Mytilus edulis: one gene and its partner. The protein of the gene in region 1 purifies or fractionates together with the protein of each later gene. This does not show direct contact. Links are inferred from orthologs where the notes say so. Each region holds a gene or a part of one and is shown on either strand. Other genes may lie near its edges. The genes, in order: acyl carrier protein-like and LYR motif-containing protein 2-like.

Region 1 (9,869 bases):
TACTCATTCGTGAGATAAATTATCTATGTTAAACCAAGGACGTATAACTAACATACGTCCTTGGTTAAACGTATATATTCGAATTATTTTTGTAGACAACACAAAAAGTTATAAATTTATTTTTAATAAATGCATTTTCGGACTGATAAGGTGAACAAATTAAAGTACAATAATCTGTAAAGACAATATGTTGGTGTACTATTATGGACCTTTTACTATCTCTGCTATGGCTAGGTTTATACGATGTGTGTATTCACGGTTCTGTGGCAATACTCGTAGATGGCTTGTTGAAAGGTAAATTGTTATTTGCACTTCGGTATTTAACCACGCCTCTAGGGCACACCTTGCCAGGTGTGACTGTCTATTCGGATCAGTGGTAGCATTTAATACACACATTAAAAATACATATTCAAGTTGGTGACAAATAAAAATTGGTCGCCGTGGAATTATTTAATTATATTTGGTGCTATTATTTATTTGAATTCAAATAAGTTAATTTACTAAGAAATACACAATTTTCGGTTAAAGACGGGAAACTTAATTCATATGTCAGAATGAAATGATATACAAGTCTTGTCCTTGATTTATGTCTCATAAAAAAGGGGGACTTAGAAATTAGAAATAGCTTTACTAAATCATTTTTATTTGTCTTTATTAGGCGAAAAAATGTACGAGAACACTTACATTTAGACTTTTGAAAGCCATGTATTAATTAATATATGAAACTATCTGAAGATAACTCTACCGAAGCGGAATATAATATGTGTGAATAAAGAAAAAAATATGTTTGTAATGGAATCGAAAAATTACGAATAGATATTCTTTTCAAGTGTGATAAACGTCAACCAAATTTATTCATAATGGGGAACGTCCTTATTAAAATCTGAGACAACTATAATAATCGTCGTCTCCCAACGTATATATATATTTAAATAACTATTTGATCAACGATGTTTAAAATTAAAAGACAACGAATTTAATGTTATCTTTCCCTATTTTTGAATGTTATTATAAGTCTGTTCAACTTGCAAGAATACCCCTAAAGCGGACAAATATCCGACAAGCAGTTTATTCTTTAAATTGCTGTCATTGAATATCAAGAAAGAAAATAAATCCCGAAATTGATACTCAATAGTTTTCCTAGAAAATATTCACATTCCTTGGGGATTATTAGTGTACGTCCAGTTGCATATGTTTTACATGAATGTTGGAACAATTGTGATGATGACGAATTTCGTCCTTTATTCGAGAACAATTTAATTGATATATAAATCTGTGAGTTTACTATGTTCTTAACTTCGATGAACCAAAGCAAGTTATAAATTGACCTGTAATTAAATGAAATTGTTTCTTTTTTTTCTTCTTCTTCTTTTGGTATACAATAGTCTATCGAATTCGTTGATTACATACTGTTGGCATACATGGACTAGTCTATTTACAAAACTTTTACCACAATTTACACAAAATGTATGTTTCTTTCTTATGTTCAATGTATACATGTATACATATTTTAAATTGCGCTACTGACTATAGTTCCGTAACTTTCTACCAGGCGTATGTATACACGAATCGTCGACAAGTGCGCACATTTTTTTAGATCAATAATTCTGTAATGTTCCAATCTGTCCTAAACTATTGACAACGAGTATATATTACATTTTCCCAAATTAACCCTTGGAAAAATATGTAAATAGATTTGTATTTCTTCAATTATTTTTTTTTGTATTATTTTTTTTTTATAAATAATATTCTTTACACCAGAAATGTTATTTATAAACAAGCGTATGAGTTCAGTAATGACTAGTATATTATATCACTTTCGGACACGCAAGACAAAAATGTATATTATACATGCACCTGATAGTTCAAAATGGAAAGTTATAAGTAACGGTCGTGTACACTGATCAATACCTACAGAAGTGAAACGATGCATGAACTTGCAAGCCCGCCGGACAGGAAATCGATTGAATACCTGGACGTGTCACCTTACACCCCTTCCAATACCTTTGGGAGTAATACCTTTAGCCATGCTGGTGATCAGATAAGGGAAGATCCGAATTTATTTAAATAAAGTTTATTACTTGAAAGAATTATGAACGAATTAGATTTTCGAAAACAATTTCCACGGAACACTTATTTATCATTTTATGATTTGAACTTTTTAACTAATTACAATATTATCAGTTTAAAAATAACAGACTATATGGTTATTTAAAAATATATAACCATTTTCCGTATCAAGTTAGTCAGTCAGATAAAACAACCGTACGATTGACAAGATATCGACACGCAATTACGACTACATCGTTTACTGTAGTTTTGTTCCTTTGTGGTTTATTGACATATCGGGATTTTTCATCGGAGAAGGTGACAAGATGGCGGAGAGTAGAGAACTGATACTCAAAATTTAAAATCGATGGTGATCTCTTATTTAACGGAATAAAACTTTAATATCTATAAATTTGAGCATTTTTATACAGAATGGACATAATATCAATTTTTGATTTTTTTGCGAAGTTTCCCTTTAATTATCTGAATAAAATATGTACCTCTTAAATAATGAGACTTGTTGTTTTTGCGTGATTTGTTTCATTTGTGTGTTAAAACAGGTAAAAGCTAAAAATAACTATGAATTCTCGGAAGTAGGCCACAGGTAAATCTATTAATAGCTTAAGAAGTTGATCCAACTCGGATCTAATTTTCTACAGTTTTTTATTTATGAAACACATTTCCAATTTTAAGTAATACAACTACTTTTATGATTATAAAATTGGACATCAAGATGAGTAAAATTAATTTACTTTTCTATCTTATCTGTCGTGGTTCAAAATAAAAGGCTGAATATTATGTAAATTAGGAAAATGGCGTACATGTGTACATACATAATTCTATTTCACCTGGGATATGCTATTGACACACGATTCCTTATTTTTACACGGGACTTTTATATATATTTTAATAAATTGTTGAGAAAGAGGTACTTTTCATTCATATTTAATAAATATTGATGAACATCACGCACAGTTTATTATTTCTGTCGTGTCCTTGTTTGTGAAGTAAATGATAACGATCACATTTGGATAAACACATAACAAACACATCTTAGGCAAAATTAATATCAGATTCATAAAATAAACAAGAAAACAAGAAGAAACAGGTTTTATTTGACTATAAAAGATCGTTTTATTAATAAAATGAAACATTTCTGTACTGAAGTTTTCTTAAACTTCGTAATGGCACAACTTCCGGCTTCATTTCTTCTCGAGAAAAATATGAAATTATTTCAAAATATTCGATTGTACATGGTTTTCACACATTTTTCATGAATATTCCTATCCAATTAGCCGATATATTCTAATAACCGATATTTGATTATCCGATGTATTTTGACTGAAATGTATAGGGAATGGTTCGGTGTTTTGAAATAATATTACAATAGCCGATATATTCGTTTAGCCGATATCCGATTAGGTGGAGTCTACTGTAGTAACTATTTTGACCACTCAGCCACTGAATAGGAATCTGCATGGAATGATGGATAAAAGTTTGAAAAATTTAAAAACGTTGACAGTAAAAAACACCTTGCATGTTGTGATCCAAATTCTTTTAATCCTCATTGTGTTAAGAAATACTGGAAAATATATTTGCAGGGGCTGTTTTGCTACTTTTTTCATTGTCCTTTTGAAAATGTTTGACATGTTTGAAGGATTATTTGATTATATCAATATTCATATTTGCAAACTATGATAATGAAATGGTCTTTTGTTGGTGATCCTTACATGTTATTTGCAGAATATTTTTTGTACAAAAAGAAACAATAATATTTAGCTGAAGTACTCAAAAACACATGATTTTTCTACAGATCATGCTTGTGTCCTTCAAAAAAGTGTAGGCCGAAAACTCAGATATCTACCTTGGATAGAAGTTTGTGAGAATTCAAGCAACATAGTTCATTTGTTTGATGTCTATTATGTACATATGACACTGCACTAAATCTACAAATCGATCGTCTAAGAACTGTTGGGTGAAATTTAAACAGAGCTCGCACGTTCCTCACAACAGTTGCCATTTTTAGTGACCTTCACCTTATTTAAATGGCAAAACATAGATGGTGCACGCTTGTGTAATTTCCGGAAAAGAGATAGTTGATAACCGTACTAAATTTGAAGTTGACAACGCACAATAACGTAATTAAAATAAAATTATTAAGGTCGTTGATGACATTTCCAGTTATAAAATCGAATATTGATTTCTTCCAACATATATTTTTTTTTTCATAAACATGATTTATTTTTAATGAGAATTTGATAATGATTAGTCAAAAAGTTAAGACAAAATATCAGACAAGTTAAGACAAAATATCAGACAAAAATAAAATACTAACTGATGCCAGAGACATATAATACAATGTATTATATGTCTCTGCTGATGCACAACACGGATTCCGCAAAAGACGACCATGCGAATCCCAACTAATCGTAACCATCAACGACATTGCATCAAAATGAAAAAGCTGCGGCCAAGTAGACATCATCCTGCTAGACTTTGCTAAAGCATTTGACAAGGTACCACTTTTGGGTCCTCAATGCTCTTCAACTTTGCACTTTTTTGTTTGGCTTTATAACTATTTTGATCTGAGCGTTACTGATGAGTCTTATGTAGACGAAACGCGCGTCTGGCGTATTAAAAATGATAATCCTGGAACCCTGGTACTTTTGATAACTATTAAGTCAGAGTTTTTTTTACTTTTGAATAGTTTTTATGACAGCAATTTTCTTTTCTTATCAATCGTTATCAAAAGCAGAAGTCGAAACACGAATATAATGCTTAAAACACGTGCGTTGGATAGACAATTTGAATGTACCAATTTCAAAACAGTTATGTATATCAAAGTTAATGGATGAAGTTTAAAATCAGAGATATTTTTTTTACAATTGAACATTTTTCGTTAAAACAGCAGTTTTCTTTTCCAGGACCATCGTTAAAAAAAGAGAAGACGCAAAAGTATTCCTCAAGCCGTTGTATGTTATTTTCAAATTTTGTTCATTTAAATGTTTTAGTGTTTAGTACGTTCATTTTCACTGAAATAGTACACATTTTTATTGAGGGGTCAGCTGAGGTCCACCTCCGGTTGTGGGATTTTCTCACGGCATTGAGCTGTTTTCTGCTCTTTGGTCCAGGGTTGTTATCTCTTTGACATATTTTCCATTTTCATTCAGTCAATTTTATTTTTCATTGTTGAATGTCGTATAGTATTCTATTGCTGCCTACATTCACGACATTTGATATCTGCATGATGGATAGCTTAGGGTCATCCTTATTTTGTTAAATACAATACAACGCAGAGGATAACGCACAAAGCGAAAGATAAAACTATTTAGTATTCATCGACAAAATTTTGTTATTTGTTATATAATGTATATAAAAAGGTGTGCCAGATATACCAGCCCATTGGAAATAACACTAATATTTTATTAATTAAATGATAATTTAAAAAGTTATATAAATACATTATTAATGTATAGTGGGACTGATGAGATTAAAAAAAAGTTTAACCCCGCCGCATTTTTGCGCCTATCCCAAGTTTCTACATGGCCTTTGTTAGTCTTGTATGAATTTTAATTAAAGTTCATTTATATATTTCGGAGTTTAGTATGACGTTCTTTATCATTTAACTAGTACACATTTTTGTTTAGGGACCAACTGAAGCAACTTTTCTCCCTGTAGACCCATTGGTGGACTTCTGCTGTTTTCTGCTCTATGGTCGGGAGGTTGTCTCTTTGGCATATTCTACATTTCCATCCTCAATTTTATTACACTAGAAATTTGGACACACATATTACAATCATCAAGTTTAAATACTATCGCTCTCTACTATGCACTAAAGGGACGAGAGAAGAATCTAAGAGAGTGCACAGTATCCATGGATTTGCTATAACCAATATTTAAAGACTACTATACATTTTTTTTCTTCTATTTTTCAATGTCTGTATTGTTTATAATTGTAACATTTTTGTCTATCGCTTGTCCTGACGAACGTGTTTTTATTTCAAATATTTACATTCGGCCAAGTTTCAGGATTAGAACATTTACTTGACCGATTGTATATGAATTTGGTGATGTCTAAGGGTTACATGTGTAAGAGTCAACTACCATTCCACTATATATTGCGTGATGCCTATGATCTCCTGATATGACTTATCAACGTTTTTCCAAGAGTAACACGACGGGTGTCTCTTGTGGGGCAGGATCTGCTCACCCTTCCGGAGCACATGAGACCCCCCCCCCCCCCCCCGATTTTTGATCGGGATCATGTTGCCCAATCTATCAATTTGTCTTTTTCCTTTAAGCTATGGATTTGTCAGTTTGTTATCGACTGATGAGTTTGAATGCCCCTTTGGTATCTATTTCAAAATCTATTTTGTATTGTTTATACTGTTATTTGTGATTTGATCGTGGTTTTTTTTTGCCATGATGTCATTGTATTTGTTTTCGATTGATGAGTATGAATGCATCTTTATTATTTTAATTAGTTAGACTCTGTGTGACACACATTATAAGGAACATAGTTTGAAAGTTATATTATGCACCATATACAGGTGACACTTTTACCTTTCCAATATTTTAATTGCTATGAGACAGCGAGCCGATCCATTCTTTAACGCTTATGGATTAGATTCTTAACATGTAAGAGAAAAATGAATAAACTAATCCGAATAAATAAACTTAGTAAAAAGTAAACAAAAGAGAGGCAAAATATACCCAAGGGACATTCAAACTCATAAGCCGATAACAAACTGTTGCTGTTATGTTATTACAACACCGATAATACGTCTAATTCGATAATATAAGTCACATGTGGGTAAAAGAGGCAAGGATTGTAGTTACGACTTTTAGAAAATATCCGTTGGGTGACTGTCAAATATCGCAGATGTTTTATAAATCATTATACAGTAATTGAAGAATGATCGTTTTCTTAAACAAAAAATATTTTAAGAATTGTATATATCCGAAATTAACGATACGGGCAACCACTAAATTCTGAAGTGGAATAAAAAATGTCAATTTCGGATTGAGAAATGTATAAAAACATGTCACCCTCGGTCTTTTGTACAGATATGCATGAACATTACTAGTATTATTGTACCTTCTAATTCGATATCTAGTGTAATTTCTATAATACCCTTTTGAGACGTACGACAGAAAACTAGCAAAAACATGAGTTTATTTAAAGACACAATAGGGGGTACAAGAAATCATCTTGAAAATAACTAATTAGATGAACTAGAAACCTGATAGTGATGTTGAACACTATCATGACTACATGTATACGATGTTTTTAGGATTAACTTATGGGTCATTTTAATAGCCATATTTTTGACATATTTTATCACACAACAAATATATCAAGAACAAAATAGTTTTATTGCAATTTCAAAAATAATGACTTGCATAATATATATATATACATATATATATAGTTTGTAAACAAAAACAAAATAATATGATAACTTTAAAAGACAACAGAAGATACACAAAGAAGTCACGCATATGACCAACACTTACACATGGGAATAAGTTATTCAAATAAATTATAAATTCTCAAAAAGAATAATGTTATTTCATCATGTTCATAGCATGTTCGAAATTCAGTTTCACCGGTATTTTGTCATCAAATTTTCCAGTAGACCATCCGACACTTGCCAATAACCAATAATACTTAATTATATTGAATTCACTGTCTTAAAGATCACAGACAGAGAAACAATCGCTTGTTGTAATACAATTGCATTTGAAGAGATTCTAAAGTTTAAGGTGGTATGGGAGTCTAAATAAAAATGATAGAATTTGTTCATACTTTGCCAACACGTTATATCTATTGATACATGTTGAAAAATATAATAAAAATGATAGGTCACCGCGCATTTTCTCAAGCTACAGGACGGGACAAAATGACACATTTTGTATGGATTATACAGGAAAAAACACCATTTTGTGATTAGAAACTAAACAAAATGATAGAATTGTTAAATACTTCAGGAAAAGATAGCTTTCAGACACTGCTTTGAGAATATCAAAAGAAAAGATAGGGTCACCGTACGTTTTTTCCGGCTAAAATACAAAATAGGAAAATTCCATACAGAATCCTTCAGAAAATGCACTTTTTTAGAGTTACCTCCCCTTAAAATGCCAATTTAAAAAAAAAAAAAAAAAAAAAACAACCAAAAATAATTAACATTTGCAAAAATATCAATATTTAGAAGTTATATTCTTATAAATTGGTACTTTTAAATGAAAATGTACATTAAACATCTGCATTCCTGCATCAAATTTTGCTAACTTGATGGAAAATTTGGACCTTTGATTCTCTGTTTTTTACAATCCAAGATGGAGGAAGACACCCATACCACCTTAAAAATACGGAAAGCAAAAAGCAAAACGTTCTACTCCATCATCATGACTTTGCGAATACCCCCCCCCCCCCCAACCGCCATATCAACTGGTTTGCCACTTTTGCCTGTAAGTTCAAGACAATCTCTATGATCTTCTTTGAAAAATTGATTGGATAAAGATAGTCTGCAGGAACTTGGATTGGGTACAATTGAGTTCAGAATAGTTATTACATCACAGGTTTAGAACTCTTCCATGTCTGTTGAAATGCTGGACGATTTTTCAGTCTTTCTAAGTAGGACAGTAATTCTGGGTACTTCTGTATTAGAATTCCTTCTTTCATTTCCGATGCCCACCACATATTATAGCCCAATACACAGTCTGCCACTGAAAATCTAAAAAGAAAAAAAAAGAAAACGCATACAATCTAGAAGCTAATTTAAACAAATCATTTGATAGATCAATTGGTAAGAAAAAAAATTTCTCGAATAAGCATACCCCCTTTTATATGTCCTTTTGAATACAACTGATGTAAGTAAAGAGTACAAATATGTATCAACCTTATAAAAAAAGGATCTACACCAACAGTTAAAGCCGCCAGATACATTTACCGTAAGTCGAACCGAAATTATAAAAGAGCAATTATTTATTACATATGGTTTATATATGAATCCGAATTTCAGTTATATGAGCAGACTGGACAGCTCTCAGCTGCAGTCTTATAGTTTATGCCATTTTTTAAATTATAATCCAACCATGTTACAATGTAAGAATTTTTCTAGTACACGGAATTTTAATTTTATAGTTTTCTACAACATTAACGTTTGTTTTTAAACAAAATTCTTACGACCTTTGTATGATAAATGTGCAAACTTGTCTTTTTACCAGTTTCTAACAATGTTCAAAGCCCCATTTACCTATTTACCTATTTACCTATCCCGAGTTCAAAATTAGAAATACATAGATCTATGTTCTATCTTTGTGATGAAAACAGGTGTATTTGTTCTCAGAATGAAAAAAAAACACACGAATATAATACATTGTCCGATAGTTGCTCAGATTGTTGACCGATTGAAACTATTTTTACCCTAAGATATGAACCCTACAATGGTCATTCAATTCGACCGGTTGAAATGATTTTATAGATTCAATATTTTATTAAAGTCTCATCACTTGTATAACATTATACATTCCAATAAACATATAAAACATTGCGTATAACATGAAATATTGGATAACATTTATACTATGATCTTCTTACAATGGTCATTCAATTCAGTCCGATCTAATCCCTATACATATAAAAAAAAAAGATATGGTAAGATTGCTAATGAGATAACTATCCACACGAGACCAAATGACACAGATATTAACAGCTATAAGTCACAAAGCTCAGACCGCATAGACAACTATGAAAAGGCCCCAGACGAGAAAATTAACGGCCTAATTAATGTACAAAAAAATAAACGAAAAACAAG
Region 2 (10,308 bases), on another chromosome or scaffold:
AAAATTTCATAGATTTCAATTTACTTAAACTAAAGTTATAGTGCGAAAACCAAGAAAATGCTTATTTGGGCCCTTTTTGGCCCCTAATTCCTAAAATGTTGGGACCAAAACTCCCAAAATCAATCCCAACCTTCCTTTTGTGGTCATAAACCTTGTGTTAAAATTTCATAGATTTCTATTCACTTTTACTAAAGTTAGAGTGCGAAAACTAAAAGTATTCGGACGACGACGACGACGACGACGACGACGCAGACGCCAACGTGATAGCAATATACGACGAAAAATTAAAATTTTTGCGGTCGTATAAAAAACAGCAAAATTTCCTTAAAATTACCAATTCAGGCGCAGCAACCCAACAACGGGTTGTCCGATTCATCTGAAAATATCAGGGCAGATAGATCTTCACCTGATAAACAATTTTACCCCATGTCAGATTTGCTCTAAATGCTTTGGTTTTTGAGTTATAAGCCAAAAACTGCATTTTACCCCTATGTTCTATTTTTAGCCATGGAGGCCATCTTGGTTGGTAAGCCGGGTCACCGGACACATTTTTTAAACTAGATACCCAAATGATGATTGTGGCCAAGTTTGGTTTAATTTGGCCCAGTAGTTTCAGAGGAGAAGATTTTTGTAAAAGTTAACGACGACGACGGACGACGACGGACGACGGACGCAAAGTGATGGGAAAAGCTCACTTGGCCCTTCGGGCCAGGTGAGCTTAAAAAACACAGCAAAAGGGAAAAGTTAAACAATATTCTTTATTTCTTTTTCACATTCAATTAAATGAGTTTTCCAGCGAATAGAAATGTGACCTAAAAGGTCTACATTTATTCCACAACGAAAGGGTCCACCATTCATGTCAGCACCACAGGGCTAAACCCTAGTTTCAACTTCCTGTGTCAGTCATTGAAATGTAATCCTACAAAAAAAGTGTATACATCTATTTTAATAGTAATATATTTTATCAAATGAAGCAGAACTTTTATTTTCTTTTTTATATAATCTTTGTTCTGAACAATACAATAAAAGTCCATTGTATGCTTCCTTAAATTCAGTGACAATTTGTATTTATAAGAATTCAGAAAAGGGCAATTTGATTCCATATGTATGAGGGTAGTAATGCCTTTTACCGTCAGGCGTCAAACGGCCATTTTCGGGTACCGTTAGCGTCAAATTGATTTAAATTTTACCGTGATTCGTCAAAATATCCTTATCGTGATTCGTCAGAGGTGTCAAATAATTATCGTTACCGTTATTTTTGGAAAAAAATTAACGTGATTCGTCAAAAAAAATTATCCTCTAAAAGAAAGTGCATATTTTATCGTCACGCACCTAAAAATACCGTTAACGTCATTTTGCAAGATTTTTTACCGTTATTCGTCATGTAGGTACCCCCATTACTACCCTCGTGTATAACACTGTTCTCTATGTTCTATCAATGAGGCTCAGCATTCATAACCTCGTGGGATTTCAAAATTAAAGAAGCACTTAATGAGAGTTTTCATCATTTCTAAAGTCAAAATGTTTACAAGTTATTTATTATGCGCTTTCCTTCTGAAATAAATTTTGACAGGAATTAAGCTTTGGTGGCATCACTTATAACCAATTTTATCGGAAATAATGATAAAATGTTAAAATTTGACGTAATCTGACTATTATAACAATGTTACTATAGTTAAAAATTGGTGCTGGTAAACAATACAAGTTTGCTGCCATTTGATCGGTTGGTGTATCTTTGACACATTGCCTGTCCACATTCTCAATGTTCTTGCCGGGAAATACACATTGAGGGGAATTGGTACTTATGGTATATTCAATTTTCACAAAGGTGTGAGTTAAGCTTACCATTTTCATAAAATAGATATGGACTGCTCCAGTTCTCTCATAGACTGTTTTCCTTTTGTTATCATCATTTTAATAGCATCCTACAACAGAACAAAATGTTTGGTATTTTTAATTTAATCATAATTTTAAAATTTTCACAGAAAATATAACTTACATTGCCCAAAAAGAGGCTGTAGGTACCAAAGAGACTTTCAAAACTCTTTCCCTCAAATTCGCACAAAGCTGTAAATGAATGCAAACTATGTCTCGATCATGCTAAATGGTGACAAAATGTAATTGGCACACGGGAAAACTTCTGAAAGGCATCAATATTCGATAAATTCTTGAAATTTAAAACAAAGAAAAATTTCATGTATTGATATCGGTGCCATGCCAGGGGTGGTGGTGGAAGGGGGGGGGTTACCTTAATGAGGTAGGGATAATTTCGCAAGGTTTTATGTAGAAAAGAGAATAAAAGGCTAAAGATCGAGAATAAAGGGGACAAAGAAGACTTGGTGCACTTATTTATAAATGACAGCATAATGACATAAAGATCAAAGAACAAGTCCAATCACCTATCACCGAAGACAGAATCTAAATCCTACCTCATCTTCTAAGTGTTTGTTAGCAGTAAAATCATGTCTAATCCATTCTATAAGTTCCTTCTGTTGACTTTTATCTGGAATTCTCCGAACAACTCTCAACATACTTCTATACAATTTTAAAACTTCTGACCTCAGCATAAACTAGAAAATAGCATTCAAAAAAATTTACAGTTTTGGTTGCTTTGTTCATTTATACAAATGTTATATAATATTTATAAGTTTTACATATAAATTTTCATACCATGCAACTTATTATTTGTCAGTGTATACCGGTACTTTCTTCCAATCTATCAAAGATCATAGTAACCCTTAACTCCAGAAAGTGAAAATCGTTAAATTGGACAACTATTTTGTCATCAGTAACAGCATATTAAAATTTGGCGGCATATATTTGTTGAACGGTTCATAGCTTACTGCACGTTGTGTGTGATTGTCTTACCTTTTCAGGGCGGTAAATGTGAAAATCGTAAATTTATACCAAACTTGCCCTCTATTTTGTCATCATCAACTAATGTAGTTTCAAATTTTGAAAATATTAATCATATGGGAATATTTCCCGTGCATCTTATTTGTTTTCCAATTCATTTCGCTTGTAATTGCAGGATGAAAGCAAAATTGTGCATTGTAGGAAACTATAAAAATTTAGGTGAATGAGCTTTAGAAACCATGCAGACGAAAAGAGAGGCTCGCATAACACATACCTTTTAATTTCCTACAATGCATTTGTTTATGAAATTTAGAAGCGGCACTTTAAGGTTTAGTTGTTTAAATCTAAATAGTTATTTCTTATTTCTCATTTTAGAAATCGGAATATCTAGTTCATTTGTAGTTTAAACGCAGACCAGGAAGAGGACAGGACCCCCAAAATCAACTGTCACACAAACGTTTGCTCAGAACAGAAGACTTTAAAATTGTAGAAGTACAAGTAAAACAGAACACCCGATGTGTACTAGTACTCCCAGGTGGTTCTCGGTGCTATTTGTACAACAGTTGGTTTATTGCAGAATAAAGTACAATTAAGTTATTTAAAAGGGGATAGTTATATAGTCAAAATAATTATACTTATTTGCTACAGCGACTTGTTGTATGGCTAAAAGCAAAAACGTATACATGGTATACATATATCCTTTCAAGACGTTATACTTATTTTGACTAGGGAATAGTACATTGTTTGTACTTTAAAATATTTTTCCCTGAACGTAAAGTAACAATAACTAAAAAAAAAAATCTAAAAATAACAACACATATTTATTTCTATGGCCTTAACAACATCTAAGCTAAATACTATGAATTAACTCCCTTTGAGACTATTTCTCATCTTGCGTCTACCGTTCAGTCACTTGTTTTTACACGATAAAACAGTGCACACTTATCCAAAAACAATCACATTATATCTATTAACATACTATACCTTTGTTAAAGACATCATGTGAGGTGCTTGTGATGCCATTTTAAATTGAATCCACTAGCCATAAAATGTTTGTTTTAAAAATCGTTGTTAGATGGGAGATAACTCGATTTATTTTTATGGTAAATCAAGTAAACGAAATGCTGTGACTGTCTGTATTTAAATAATCGTTCTTGCAATGTTCAACTCACAGGCGCTTGGGTCTAGGATACAGATTTTTTTTTTATTATTAAAATATTCAATTTTCTATATTTATAATTCAATTCAAAGTTTTATTGCCATATAAACTATACAGTTTGTGACATATAACAACAACAAAAACAAAGAAAGACAATAACTAAGTCTCTCAATATATATACACAAATTCAGGTAAATATTAAAGGGTCCCCTGTCCTCAGTTCCATTGACTTTTTTATAAAGGATCCTAGTTTATTCACTTGTGTTGGTGTTGATTGGTTAAGTATATATATAACTTTGTCATTGTCAGTGAGATTAGCAAATGAATTACTTTCTCTGTTAATGCAATTAAAATATGTAAATCTAATATTTGAATTATGAGAACAATTTATTAAGAAATGTTTCTCATCATCTAGTACTTTGCATTTTTTGCAAAGTCTCTCTTCGCGAGGAATTTTAAAATGCCTTCCTTTTTCAATTAATAATGAATGGTCACTGAGTCTAAGTTTTGTAATTAATTTTCTAAATTCAAAGTTTGGGTTAGAGAGGTAAGGTTTGATCAATAGATTTGCCTCAAGTCCTTTATAAAAATTTAATTTACTTTTATCATCAATAGATTTCAACTTATCCATCAACAGGTTGTTGTAATATGAGTTTATTTGGGGTTTAATATAGCTTTTAATATTTTTTAATTGTTTTAAATTATTACAGGTTTTTAGTCTATCTATATCAATGTTAGATTCAGAAAGAATATCTTTTGCAAAAGTGAACCATGAATAGGAGCCACTAGAATCCAAAGTTTTAGTTAATTGAAAAGATTCATGTAATAAGGGATTCAAATTTGAGGTGAAAAGCCTTGCTAAATACATAATAGTTTGGGTTTTTATAGGACATTCAATAGGCAGTCTTCCTAATTCGTTATACATATCTATCACTTCTGTGCATGTCTCGCCTAGTTTCGAGTGATTTAAACGACCCAGAGAAAATACCCAATTTTACTATCCATACTTTGTTTCTTAGTATGGATAGTAAAATTGGGTATTTTCTCTGGGTCGTTTAAATCACTCGAAACTAGGTGAGACATGCACAGAAGTGATAGATATGTATTATAAATATAGAAAATTGAATATTTTAATAAAAAAAAAAAAAAAAAAATCTGTATCCTAGACCCAAGCGCCTGTGGTTCAACTCCCAGCTGCATCCATCCACTTCATATGAATAAATGTTATCATTCATTCATGCATTATATATATATGTTGTTAAAATTATGGTAATTTTCTAGACGTTTTTTTCTTTCTTTTTTTTTTTTTAAATATATACATTGTTATATACTCTCTTAAAATGTCAACAATATATATATACTAAGTAATTAAATGTTGCAAGGGAGACAAATCTATTCCGTATCTAGAACATGCCTCAACCTCTCAAATGTTTGTCCAACTTGGCATCGCAGTATTACCATGATTACAGAAGCAAGCTGTTGATACACGTCATTACGTAGAGACGTGATCCGGTAAGGTTTAATCCGAAATTTGTAGAAATAGAAATTGTTGAAATTTACTTTTGAACCAACGGTTAACTTTATGTTTATTGAGAACTTTGATCTCATTTTTATATCAATTCTACTTCCTGCTAAGTTATATCATTTTTATACGACCGCAAAATTTGAAAAAATTTTCGTCGTATATTGCTATCACGTTGGCGTCGTCGTCGTCATCGTCATCGTCGTCGTCGTCGTCGTCGTCGTCCGAATACTTTTAGTTTTCGCACTCTAACTTTAGTAAAAGTGAATGGAAATCTATGAAATTTTAACACAAGGTTTATGACCACAAAAGGAAGGTTGGTATTGATTTTGGGAGTTTTGGTCCCAACATTTTAGGAATTAGGGGCCAAAAAGGGCCCAAATAAGCATTTTCTTGGTTTTCGCACTATAACTTTAGTTTAAGTTAATAGAAATCTATTAAATTTTGACACAAGGTTTATGACCACAAAATAACGGTTGGGATTGATTTTGGGAGTTTTGGTTTCAACAGTTTAGGAATTAGGGGCCAAAAAAGGGCCCAAATAAGCATTATTCTTGGTTTTCGCACAATAACTTTAGTTTAAGTAAATAGAAATCAATGAAATTTAAACACAATGTTAATGACTACAAAAGGAAGGTTGGTATTGATTTTGGGAGTTAATGTCCCAACAGTTTAGGAATTAGGGGCCAAAAAGGGACCCAAATAAGCATTTTTCTTGGTTTTCGCACCATAACGTTAGTATAAGTAAATAGAAATCTATGAAATTTAAACACAAGGTTTATGACCATAAAAGGAAGGTTGGTATTGATTTTGGGAGTTTTGGTCCCAACAGAATAAGGGGCCCAAAGGGTCCAAAATTAAACTTTGTTTGATTTCATCAAAATTGAATAATTGGGGTTCTTTGATATGCCGAATCTAACTGTCATGACTGTGTATGTAGATTCTTAACTTTTGGTCCCGTTTTCAAATTGGTCTACATTAAGGTCCAAAGGGTCCAAAATTAAACTTAGTTTGATTTTGACAAAAAATGAATCAGTTAGGTTCTTTGATATGCTGAATCTAAAAATGTACTTAGATTCTTGATTATTGGCCCAGTTTTCAAGTTGGTCCAAATCGGGGTCCAAAATTAAACTTTGTTTGATTTCATCAAAAATTGAATAAATGGGGTTCTTTGATATACCAAATCTAACTGTGTATGTATATTCTTCATTTTTGGTCCTGTTTTCAAATTGGTCTACACTAAAGTCCAAAGGGTCCAAAATTAAACTTAGTCTGATTTTAACAAAAATAGAAATCTTGGGGTTCTTTGATATGCTGAATCCAAAAATGTACTTAGATTTTTTATTATGAGCCCAGTTTTCAAGTTGGTCCAAATCAGGATCTAAAATTATTATATTAAGTATTGTGCAATAGCAAGTCTTTTCAATTGCACAGTATTGCGCTATGGCAAGAAATATCTAATTGCACAATATTGTGAAACAGCAAATTTTTTTTTAATTAGAGTTATCTTTCTTTGTTCAGAATAGTAAGCAAGAAATATCTAATTGCAAAATATTGTGCAATAGCAAGATTTTTTTTTAATTGGAGTTATCTTTCTTTGTCCAGAATCAACTTAAATCTTTGTTATATACAATATACAATGTATATTCACTTTTTACTACCAACTGATAAATTAAAATAATCTTTACCATTCAGTGATAACAAGCAGTTTTTTTACATCTTAATATTTTATGATGTATTTAAATGAGTAGTTATTGTTGCAAACTCCATTAGAAATTTTAATTGAGATTAGTTTTGGAATAAGGGAAAGGGGGATGTGATTAAAAAAATTGGGTTCAATTTTTCTCATTTGAAATTTCATAAATAAAAAAGAAAATTTCTTCAAACCTTTTTTTTAGAGGATTAATATTCAACAGCATAGTGAATTGCTCTAAGAGAAAACAAAAATTTTAAGTTCATTAGAACACATTCATTCTGTGTCAGAAACCTATGCTGTGTCAACTATTTAATCACAATCCAAATTTAGAGCTGAATCCAGCTTGAATGTTGTGTCCATACTTGCCCCAACCGTTCAGGGTTCAACCTCTGCGGTCGTATAAAGCTACGCCCTGCGGAGCATCTGGTTAAAAATAATTTTGAATAATATTAAACGTATTTGGGGGGGGGGGGGGGGGGGGGGCAAAACTATGGGTCATAATTTTTGCGAGATTTTATAAAAAGAAAATGACTCCCCTTTTCAATGACATCCTATATTAAAATACATTAAAAAAAATGACTCCCCTTTTCAATGACATCCTATATTAAAATACATTACATTTGATTTGGGGTATGATCTACATATCATATTGAATAAATATACTTTCTAGAATTTCACTTTGTTGATGGCCAAATGTTCGCCTTTGAAAAATCTTAAACTAAAATCCTTAAATTATGAGGAATGATATAGATTTATATAGCGCTTATAACATGCATAAGCATGGGTCATATTTAAGATATTGTATAAATCAATGATACATACATGACATATGTATGCTTGGTATGCAATTCCAAAAACATTGGCAGTAGGGAAGGTATACGGGACTTTAGGAGGGTCTCACTCTGACTGGGATGACCACAATATTAATTTTTTTACAGAGATTTACAGAAGAAATGTTAATTCTTCAATATACCATGAAAATGCTGTAATATCTAATAATACAGCAACGAACGGCCACCATACCGCAGATGCACTAGCTATGACTAACCTTATTTTTTACATTCAAATTCTGTATCACCAGATAGATGTTCTCTTGAACTTTGAAAATACATTTAAAATATAAATTGTTGCAAAGAAATCGCACTTATTGGCGAAGGCCTTACCCCACAAAAACTGACAAAACCATTACATTCATCTAGGGACGTCGCCTTGTGGTCATACTTTTCATGTATAAAGTACATTCCATAAGGTTAAATCACTAGATTACCAACATGTTAGAGAACATCCAATATCGTAAACTTTATAAAAATCACAGTAGACATTAAACTTCCATAAGATTTTATATAGTGCAAGATAGATAGATAGATAGATAATTTTATTAACCAATCATGGTGCCCAAAATTTGAGCTATATAATCAAATGAATTACAAAATAAAGCACAGAAAATGATTAGAATGATTAAAGTACATTTGAACAAAAAACCACATGAATACACATTTACACTAATTAACCTGATATAAACCAAGTTATTGACAAAACATAGTTGTTATGGGTGCCACTGTGATATCATTAACTTTATATTTTGTTCATTTTTCTCAAATGAACATGAACACTTATAACCAAAAGAAAGAATTTTCTCTGACTGTTAATGACGTTTTTACACCAAATTCATTGGATATTAAATGTGTACTGATTGATATTTTAGTCTTAGATGCATGGTTTTTTATTAGTTATTATTGGCTTTCAGCTAGTTGTCAGTAATTTGGGGTATTCTCAGTTTTGTACTTTTGCGTCTTTTTTGTTACATAAAAAAAGATATTTTAAAACATTTAAGCAATATTATTAATTTTACAGATTTTAGCTGGAAAAATAAATAGATTTGAGTTTTTACATTTTTTCAGACATTTTTCTCGCCTACAAACAGAGCTAAGAAACGAAGGGGAGGACAGGGGGTACCCTTCTCCCTTCTCCCACCCCTCTTCTCCTTTCTCCCATTAGAATAAAACATCTTCTTTTGGGATATTTTTTCTTGAAATATTAGAAATTTTTTTAAAGGAGAGATATTTTATTTTTTCTCCTTTCTCCCAGCCTTCCTCTCCTTTCTCCTACACACTTTCTCCTTTCTCCCAGCCTTCCTCTCCTTTCTCCTACCCCTTTCTCCTTTCTCCTACCCCCTTTCTCCCTGTCTCCCTTACCCCTGTCCTCCCCCTCAGAAACAGGTGTGAAAAAATCCATGTCCACCACCAGTTGTAAAATAAACCTTTCTCAATGAAGGAATTTAAATTTCTAATTCCAACAATAAAAATATTCATAATGACTGGATGGAAATATTTTTTCGGGAACAGATATCCATTTTTCTCTTTTATCAAGGTGAGTTATTATTCAATATGTAAAAGACAGTTGTAATTTATACAAGTGTGAAATGTATAAATACTCTGCCACGTCTAGTCTGCGTTTGGTTATTTTTTTTTTTTAGCTTTTCGTCGATCCGATGAGTTGAGCACTTTTCAACTGATTGTTATAGTTTGTTCTTGTGTTGTACTATATAACACCACTGTGGCGATTTCTCCGCAGTTTATACATGTATGTGCCTGTCGTAATGCAGGAGCCTGTTATTGTTGCTGTTTATTGGTGGGTTTGTATTTTTAGGCAGTTATAACTTAAGCTGCCTTATGCGCAGATAAGGAGAGCACCCTAGATTTGTGTTCAAATGCTGAAATATGTGTCATTGTTATTATCTAGCTGGATGTTATGTTATTCATAACTAATTGGACAGTTTTTTCATACTTTTATTTCTTGATCACAAAAATTAAATATGATCAGAAAAACCTTAAATGATCGTCGATTTATCCAAAAGTTTTGAATTTGCACTTAGGAAGTAGGGCACCTTAGGAATCTTTATCACGGTAGTTTATTATCCCCTGAGATTTTGGCTAAGCTGTCAAAGAACAAATGTATGAAATGTTTAATCGCCGAAAATTTCTAAAGACAAGTAGTTTAGATTTCCCAAATGGCAAAAAATCGAAGGAATATTGTGTGTCGTCAATAAGTAGTCAACTACGTCAGTAGTCTTAA

The links.
Region 2: the proteins of acyl carrier protein-like (region 1) and LYR motif-containing protein 2-like purify together in Homo sapiens (affinity purification with mass spectrometry; 3 studies listed by BioGRID and IntAct, counting the BioPlex papers as one, with this or other methods). This does not show direct contact. The link is inferred for Mytilus edulis from reciprocal best matches to the Homo sapiens genes NDUFAB1 and LYRM2.

What each region holds. Positions count from the first base shown.
Region 1 is NC_092352.1:77,013,850-77,023,718, reverse strand, and holds the start of acyl carrier protein-like, read right to left. Parts: upstream 4,111-9,869; 5' UTR 4,070-4,110; coding exon 3,914-4,069; intron 1-3,913. Other genes in the region: uncharacterized protein, read right to left, coding at 8,621-8,786. UniProt on the Homo sapiens protein: Carrier of the growing fatty acid chain in fatty acid biosynthesis.
Region 2 is NC_092353.1:70,004,255-70,014,562, forward strand, and holds LYR motif-containing protein 2-like, read right to left. Parts: upstream 3,947-10,308; 5' UTR 3,880-3,946; coding exon 3,841-3,879; intron 2,571-3,840; coding exon 2,430-2,570; intron 1,926-2,429; coding exon 1,851-1,925; 3' UTR 1,846-1,850; intron 920-1,845; 3' UTR 741-919; downstream 1-740. UniProt on the Homo sapiens protein: Involved in efficient integration of the N-module into mitochondrial respiratory chain complex I.